Callithrix jacchus: one gene and its partner. The protein of the gene in region 1 interacts with the protein of each later gene in a biochemical or structural test. Links are inferred from orthologs where the notes say so. Each region holds a gene or a part of one and is shown on either strand. Other genes may lie near its edges. The genes, in order: APEX1 and MUTYH.

The links.
Region 2: the proteins of APEX1 (region 1) and MUTYH form a complex in vitro, tested with the Homo sapiens proteins (3 studies listed by BioGRID and IntAct, with this or other methods). The link is inferred for Callithrix jacchus from reciprocal best matches to the Homo sapiens genes APEX1 and MUTYH.

Annotation. Positions count from the first base shown.
Region 1 is NC_133509.1:55,179,237-55,183,145, reverse strand, and holds the start of APEX1 (DNA repair nuclease/redox regulator APEX1), read right to left. Parts: upstream 2,264-3,909; 5' UTR 2,187-2,263; exon of another isoform or gene 2,095-2,186; intron 1,914-2,094; 5' UTR 1,843-1,913; coding exon 1,785-1,842; intron 1,586-1,784; coding exon 1,398-1,585; intron 824-1,397; coding exon 631-823; intron 497-630; coding exon 1-496. Other genes in the region: OSGEP (tRNA N6-adenosine threonylcarbamoyltransferase), read left to right, coding at 2,798-2,912.
Region 2 is NC_133508.1:82,042,169-82,045,977, forward strand, and holds part of MUTYH (adenine DNA glycosylase), read right to left. Parts: intron 3,171-3,809; coding exon 3,019-3,170; intron 2,932-3,018; coding exon 2,892-2,931; intron 2,779-2,891; coding exon 2,705-2,778; intron 2,568-2,704; coding exon 2,526-2,567; intron 2,444-2,525; coding exon 2,372-2,443; intron 2,298-2,371; coding exon 2,184-2,297; intron 2,099-2,183; coding exon 2,001-2,098; intron 1,921-2,000; coding exon 1,776-1,920; intron 1,697-1,775; coding exon 1,633-1,696; intron 1,460-1,632; coding exon 1,268-1,459; intron 1,171-1,267; coding exon 1,034-1,170; intron 949-1,033; coding exon 796-948; intron 1-795. UniProt on the Homo sapiens protein: Involved in oxidative DNA damage repair. Initiates repair of A*oxoG to C*G by removing the inappropriately paired adenine base from the DNA backbone. Possesses both adenine and 2-OH-A DNA glycosylase activities.

The DNA of each region.
Region 1 (3,909 bases):
ATAGGACAGTGATCACTGCCGAGAGCCTTGGAACGGATCTTGCTGTCACACAATGCAGGTAACAGAGAGTGGGACAACAAAAAATAATCAAGGCGCCAACCAACATTCTTGGATCGAGCATTCATCATGTAAGTCCAAAAGGTATAGGCATAGGCTGTGTTGGGGTATAGGTGCCTAAAGCTGTCAGCCAGTGGCACAGCCTGCAGTAATTCCCCAAAGCCTTGGCGCTCTTGTGGCGTGAAGCCAGCATTCTTTTTGTTTCCCTTGGGGTTGCGAAGGTCAATTTCTTCATGGGCTACATTGAGGTCTCCACACAGCACAAGGGGCTTTCGGGAAGCCAAGCCCTTCAGGAACTTGCGAAAGGCTTCATCCCAGCGCTGCCGGTACTCCAGTCGTACCAGACCCCGGCCTGCGTTAGGTACATACGCTGTTACCAGCACAAACGAGTCAAATTCAGCCACAATCACCCGGCCTTCCTGATCATGCTCCTCCTCACCTACAGAAATGATGAAACAGAATTAGCATAAAAAAACCACAAGAAAAGAGAAAGCAATCAAGAGGTGGGGCAGAGATGGAGAATTAGCTATTGGTTTTGAAGAGCTCAGGCATTAGGGATTAACAGGGTCTCACCTATGCCATAAGAAACTTTGAGTGGGCACTGGCGGGAAAGTAGGCCCACGCCACTGTACCCTTCCTTATCGGAGGGAGCTGACCAGTATTGATGAGGGAGTCCAGGCAGCTCTTGAAGTTCAGCTGGTAGTTTGTTCTCTGAACATTTGGTCTCTTGAAGGCACAGTATATCTGGGGCTTCTTCCTTTACCCACTATAAGTGAAAAGGTGGAAAACATCAATTCAGCAGAACATTTACTGAATATGTGCTAAGTCATAGATATGCACAGGTTAAACAGTCCCTTGGCCTAATGAGTTCAAGTAGTACAACATTTAAACAATTATAAGCTATATAAATAAAAACTAATAGAGGAAGATAAAGTATTACACGCTCTACTAAGGAGATTGTGTTTTTTCCATAGGCAGTGGATGGCAAGCTAAGATTTTAAGCTATAGTTAATGGAATGGAGGACATGCTGAAGATAAAATGGAGGAAGTATAGAAAAAAGGTTTTTGCAACAGTCTGGGAAGAGGAGAGAACATTAAACGAAAATGGCAATGGAAGTGAAGAAACGGACATTTAGAAACACGACTGGCAAAATGTGGGGAAGCCCCACATAAAGCTCTCCTGGGCAGGAGAAAAACAAAACAGCCTGAAGGCTAAACGGAAAAAAGGGGTGACTAAACCCCTAAGATCATTCAATACTAAAGAATATCTCTACCAAAGTAGAAAATGATATTTAAAAAAAGGAAAAAATACTCTCTTCCCCTCCTTAAATTCCACTTACATCTAATCCTTTCTTCTTAATCCAGGCTCGAAGCCCATCCACATTCCAAGAGCAGATCTTGAGTGTGGCAGGTTTGCCACTGGGTGAGGTTTTCTGATCTGGGGGGTCCTCATACAGGGCTGGGCCCTCTCCTGCTGCCTCTTTGTCGTTTTTCTTTGCGGCCGTCTTACTCTTCTTGGCCTCTGGCTCTATAAAATGAGTAATACATAGTGACAAAAAGTTGGTAGTTTCCAACCTCGATCCGGCGTTAACTATAAACCCAACAAAAGTGTGATGTTACCGCTACTTCTTCACAAACCCCTTAAAAAATGAGCGGCCTGTAGTTACCGTTATCAAGGAAATTCCCGCCGCAGCTTCTAGGAAGAGGGGCTTATTTCATTCTCTTACCCGTCTTGAGCTCTTCCCCGTCTTCTGCCACCGCTCCCTTTTTCCCACGCTTCGGCATTCCCGTAACGAACGCCCTTCGGAGGCACCTGTACCGTGTCGCCCACCGAAGGAGTATTTTTACCGCGTTGCCTACAGACGCAAATAAATGAAATCAGCTAAACCTGGGGAGAAGACTCCTCCCCTAAAGCGTCCCCGCACCAGGTCCCCGCTTTTCAAACCATGTTATGTCTCAATCCTTTCCCAGCCTCCGTGCATCATATGCCCTTCAGCCCCTCACCCACTAACAAGATCATTTCATAGTGCCTTTTACCCTACTGGCGAGATCTGCCCTCCAGCTGAGGATCTTAATTAAGGATCCTGACTCAAGCTTGCCGTTCAGACTGCCAGCGAAGCCCCTCTTACGAGCAGAAGAGTAACCCCGTATCTGCCTGCACTGGTCAGAACGCAGCACAGCTCCTCCTAACCCGAGCACAAAGAACGGTGCACGCTGTGCCCCCACGTGGGTAGCGGATCTGGTCACGTGATCCGAGACTCCAGTCACGTGGCAGAAGAATGTGCGTGATTGGTCTGTCTGGTACCACGTAATGGAGACACTTGGCCTAGCCTCCCTTCTCCCCAGGAGACTTAAGGCCCCAACCCTCCTTCGGGGTGTTTATTGTTGTGCCAGATGCACGGCACATTCTCTGAATGTGGCTTAAGATCCTAATGCTGTGCAAGAGGGGAAAAAAACAATAGCGAAGGCTGGGCTGGACCATAGGAAAGGGATAGAAAAACTGATAGGAATGTAAAGCACAGAGGCGGCTCGGCGTCCCTGGCAGTTAGGAAGACAGGTCCCTGGAGGGGCCTTGACGGGTCTCCGCTCGCGGGAGTTCTGTGGTGTCTCTCGCAGTGCTATCTGCAGTCTCGCCTTCTTCTTCTGTGCCCCGGAAAGCTGCGGCACAGCGCGGACTTGGAAGGACCTCCACTTCTTAGGTTGCTAGGAGTCCTGTCGGCGTTTTCTCCCCGGCTTCGCCATGCCGGCGGTGCTCGGTTTTGAAGGCAGCGCCAATAAGATTGGCGTGGGAGTGGTGCGGGATGGCAAGGTGCTGGCGAACCCGCGGCGGACTTATGTCACGCCTCCGGGCACAGGTGGGTTAGTAAGGGACTTGAGAGTTTTCCGCGCACTTCCCCGCACGGAATTAGTCTTCCATCTTCCTAAATACTAGTTAAGTGGGGCCTTGGGTGCATTGTCCGTTCTTACAGCTTTTGATCCGAGTCTCAGGGAAATTATGTGACTTTATTGACATCACAGGGCTGATAGCTAGAAGAGGTATAGGCACTTGGAGGTGGATCTGAGAAGTTAGTTTACCTTTTATTGAGCGCATTTTATGTGCTAAGCGTTTAGAAATAGATGTTATGATTTTGTTGTGGAATCAGATATATAAATAGATGTTTATTCTTCAGCATGATAAACAGTGTAATAGAGATGGATTCGAAACATTCTGTTTAAAAAATGCTTAGTAGGAATATAGATTCCAGTTGCCCTGAATATACACTCCTTTTTTTTTTTTTTTTTTTTTTTTTCAGACGCAGTTTCGCTCTTGTTACCCAGGCTGGAGTGCAATGGCGCCATCTCGGCTCACTGCAACCTCCGGCTCCCGGGTTCAAGCAATTCTCCTGCCTCAGCCTTCCACGTAGCTGGGATTACAGGCACACGCCACCATGCCCAGCTAAATTTTTTTGTATTTTTGGTAGAGACGGGGTTTCACCATGTTGACCAAGATGGTCTCGATCTCTTCACCTCATGATCCACCCGTCTCGGCCTCCCAAAGTGCTGGGATTACAGGCTTAGGCCACCGCGCCCGGCCCGAATATACACTCCTGTTAAAAAAAAAAAATGCTTTAAAAAAAATAGGATGGGGAGAGAGAAGAGTGGAAAAGACTCCCAGCTTACATGCCAGACAGAACTGGCTGGCTTTGTAATATTCATATTAAATATGTTCTGGACATTTGGTCTTTATTTTTATTTTTAATTTTAATTTAATTGTATTTTATTTTGAGATGGAATCTCACTGAGTCGCCCAGGCTGGAGTGCAATGGCGCGCTCTCGGCTCACCACAACCTCCGGCTTCCGAATTCAAGCAAT
Region 2 (3,809 bases), on another chromosome or scaffold:
GGCTCACAGAACCCTGTGGGACTGGACCCTACATCTGGCGCCCAACGTGGCAGTTGACCCTAGAGTGGTGCACGCTTTGAGGCAGGAGAATCATTTGAACTTGGGAATCAGGGTTTGTAGCAACCTGAGATCACACCACTGTACTCCAGACTTGGTGACAGAGAGAGACTCCGTCTCCCCCAGCAAAGAATAAAAATAAAAGTTAAAAAACAAAAAATCAGCCAGGCATGATGGCACATACCTGTAATCCCAGCTACTTGGGAGGCTGAGGCAAGAGAATCACTTGAACCTGGGAGGCAAGGTTGCAGTGAGCCAATATTGTGCCATCGCACTCCAACCTGGGCAACACAGTGAGACTCTGTCTCAAAAAAAGAAAATAAAAAGCGTGTTTTTTTTTTTTTTGGCCGGGTGCAGTGCTTCACGCCTGTAATCCCAGCACTTTGGGAGGATGAGGTGGGTGGATCACTTGAGGCCAGGAGTTTGAGACCAGCCTGGCCAACATGGTAAAACCCCCATCTCTACAAAAAGTACAAAACAGCTGGGTATGGTTATGGTGGTGCACACCTGTAATCCCAGCTACTCAGGAGGTTGAAGCACAAAAATCACTTGAACCTAGTAGGCAAAGGTTGCAGTAAGCCAAGATCGCACCACTATACTCCAGCCTGGGCAACAGAGTGAGTCTCCATCTCAAACAATAAAATCAAACATGCTTTTTCCCCTGTTTACACAGTAATATGTTCATATAGAACATGTAGGAAACACAAAGAAATACAACAAAGACAACAAAGGTCATGCCTTTTTCACGGCAGTGGAGACAGCTGCAGTGTGAAATTCCTCCCGGGTCAGCCAGCGAGCGCCTGGTGGTGCAGTGGTCACTGGGGTCTGCCCTTCCAGGGCAAGACCATATACTTGATATGTCAGCTTGATGTGAGAGAAGACATGGACAACCTGGAGGAAGGGCCAAGGGGTTCAAATAGGCCTGTGGATATAGCCTCAAAAGCCAACATCGCTGGCCCTCCCGCTGCTCACTTACCTCCCCGAGGTGCCGGAGGTGTGTGTCTGGGAGGGGCCCAGCCCAACGCTGGAGTTCCTGCAGCAGGGCCTTGCGCTGAAGCGGCTCTGAGGGCTCCCAGGTCACAGACGGGAACTCCCACAGTCCTGCCAGCAGACCTGAGAGGGAGGGCAGGCAGGCAGGGGTCAGCTGCCAATTCCTTCCATTCTCCCTTGTTACTCATGCCACTGCCCTCCATGCACAGTATCCAGCTACCTGAGTTGGGCCTTTGCACCAGCAGAATTCGGGCACCCCCAAGGGCCCTGGGCTGTTCCAGAACACAGGTGGCAGAGCTCTCCTCCCTGGAGGGCTTACGGCTGGCCTTTCTGGGGAAGTTGACCACTCCCAGGGTCTGGTCCCAGGGCTCCGAGGGTGGCAGGCACAGCTGGCACTGTCCAGTGCTGGGAGCTGGGAATGGAGATCCCTGAGCCCTACTCAGGCCAAGACAGCTCAGGTGCCAAGCCTAGAGAGCAGGCTTTGGCCGGGTTCTGCAGACTCTTACTAAGGTTAGAGGAGGAACTGGAATGAGGCTTCTGACAGGGCCAGGAAGGGCTGGGGAGAGGGCTAGGTTTGGTGCTCACCACACTCCTCTATGTCAGGACTGCCCAACAGGCTCTGTGAGGCTAAGGGCTGTTCCTGCTTCACCTGAGAGGCACAGGGTTGGGTGTCATGGGGCAGAGTCACTCCTTAGGACTCCTCACTGCCCCTTCCCAATTAGGCTTACTCTCTGGCGTGCCCGGCACAGGCTCTGCACAGGGCACTGGCTGCACAGTGGGCGCTGCGGAGTACACACTGTGGCCCCTAGCTCCATGGCTGCTTGGTTGAAATCTCCTGGCCGGGCTGGGTCCACTAGCTGCTGGGCTAGACTCCTAAAAGAAGGGAACACTGCTATGAGCCAAAGCTCCTTTGGAAACACCCCTGAAGCACCCTTGTCACCCTGACATCCTACCAGAGCTGCTGGGAGACAAGTTTGCTGCTAGGATCAGCACCAATGGCCCGGACACGGCACAGCACCCGTGCTACGTTGCCATCTACCACACTGGTTGCCTGGCAAAGAGGAGCCAAAGAGTCAGCCTGGGCTGGGAGGAAGGAGGCTGAGCATATACAAAATGGGGGTGGACTGTGGGCTTACCTGGCCAAAGGCAATAGAGGCAATGGCCCCAGCTGTGTAGCGCCCCACACCAGGCAGGAGCTGCTGCAGGGTCTCTGCTGTACGTGGCATGTGGCCCCCTAGCTTCTCTACTACCTGATTGGAGTGCAAGACTCAAGCTTATGAGATACCAAGACTCCTAGGTTCCCACCCTCCTGCCATCCCCTTACCTTCCGAGCTCCCTCTTGCAGCCGCCGGCCTCGAGAATAGTAGCCCAGGCCGGCCCAGAGCTGATTCACCTCCTGTGGGTGGGATCAGAGGTCAGAGAGATCACTGTCAGCCCCTCCATTGTTCCTATTCCCTCTACCCTTGGGTAGCTCTCACCTCCAGGGAAGCACTGGCCAGATCCTGCAGTGTAGGCCACTTCTACAGCCACAGGCAGGCAGAAAGAGACAAGGTCAAGGGTGAGGGTGGTAGAGGAAGCCTTCTCTACACCTACCCCAAAGTAGAGGCTCTCATCTGGGGTCTGACCCATGACCCTCCCCTTCCTCCCCTGGAGTCACCTGCATCCATCTGGTATAGTAGTTGATCACCGTGGCAACCTGGGTCTGCTGCAGCATGACCTCTGAGACCCACACTGGGGGAAAGGAGTTGGCATGAGGACACTGCTGACCTGCCCTATCCTGGCCCACAGCCTCCAGACCCAAGGTCCTTGATGCAAAGTGCCCTGCTCTCAGGAGATGTACTGACCAGCATATGCCCGCCTGTCCAGGTCCACCTCATCTTCTGCCTGTCAATGTAACCCCAGATGAGGAGTTAGGGTGGAGGGGGATGGATACCTGTCTCCACCCACTGTCCCTGTTCCTCGCCTGCCTACCTGTCGCCTCCACGGTAGGTCCCGCTTCTTTTGGTCATACCAGCTTAGCAGACTTCCTCGGAAGGCTGTGACTTCAGCTATGTCTCTGAATAGATGGTATGGGGAGACAGAGGCCTGCAATACCACCTCTTCCAGCTGTCTGGCCAGGCCTGCTGGAGCCCCAGGACACTCAGAAATCATCCCTGCACAAGCTGTGCACCGGGGTCTTGGGACACAGCAGCCTGTGACAGTATGCTCCCACTTAGGGCTTCCTCCAACCAATCCCCTTAGGCTTTGGAGCTGGAGTCAGACCAGAGTTCTGTAATTGCATGTAACTGTGGCTAAGTTTCTGGCCTTAATTTTCTCAGGGTGGTACTATTGGCTTCTTTGTTTCTGAGCTGTAATGAAAACCTAAGAGTTTAGCCAGCTATAATTTATACCTGTGCAGGGCTTTCTTATTTACAAAACATTTTCAGGCTCATAAACTCATTTGGTCCCATGAAAGCCACATGAAGGAAGAAATGCTGAACTACTGCTCCATTTGACTGGTAAGAAAGCAGCCATTCAGAGCAATTATCCTAATGTCACACAGCAATATAGTCAGAATTATACCCTTAGTGAGTCTCTCTTTTTCTTTTTTTTGAGACAGAGTCTGGCTCTGTTGCCCAGGCTGGAGTGCAGTGGCACTATCTCCACTCAGTACAACGTCTGCCTTCCAGGGTCAAGCAATCAGCCTACCTCAGCCTCTAGAGTAGCTGCGACTACATGATGCTCACCACCACATAAGCATAGAGATGGGGTTTCACCATATT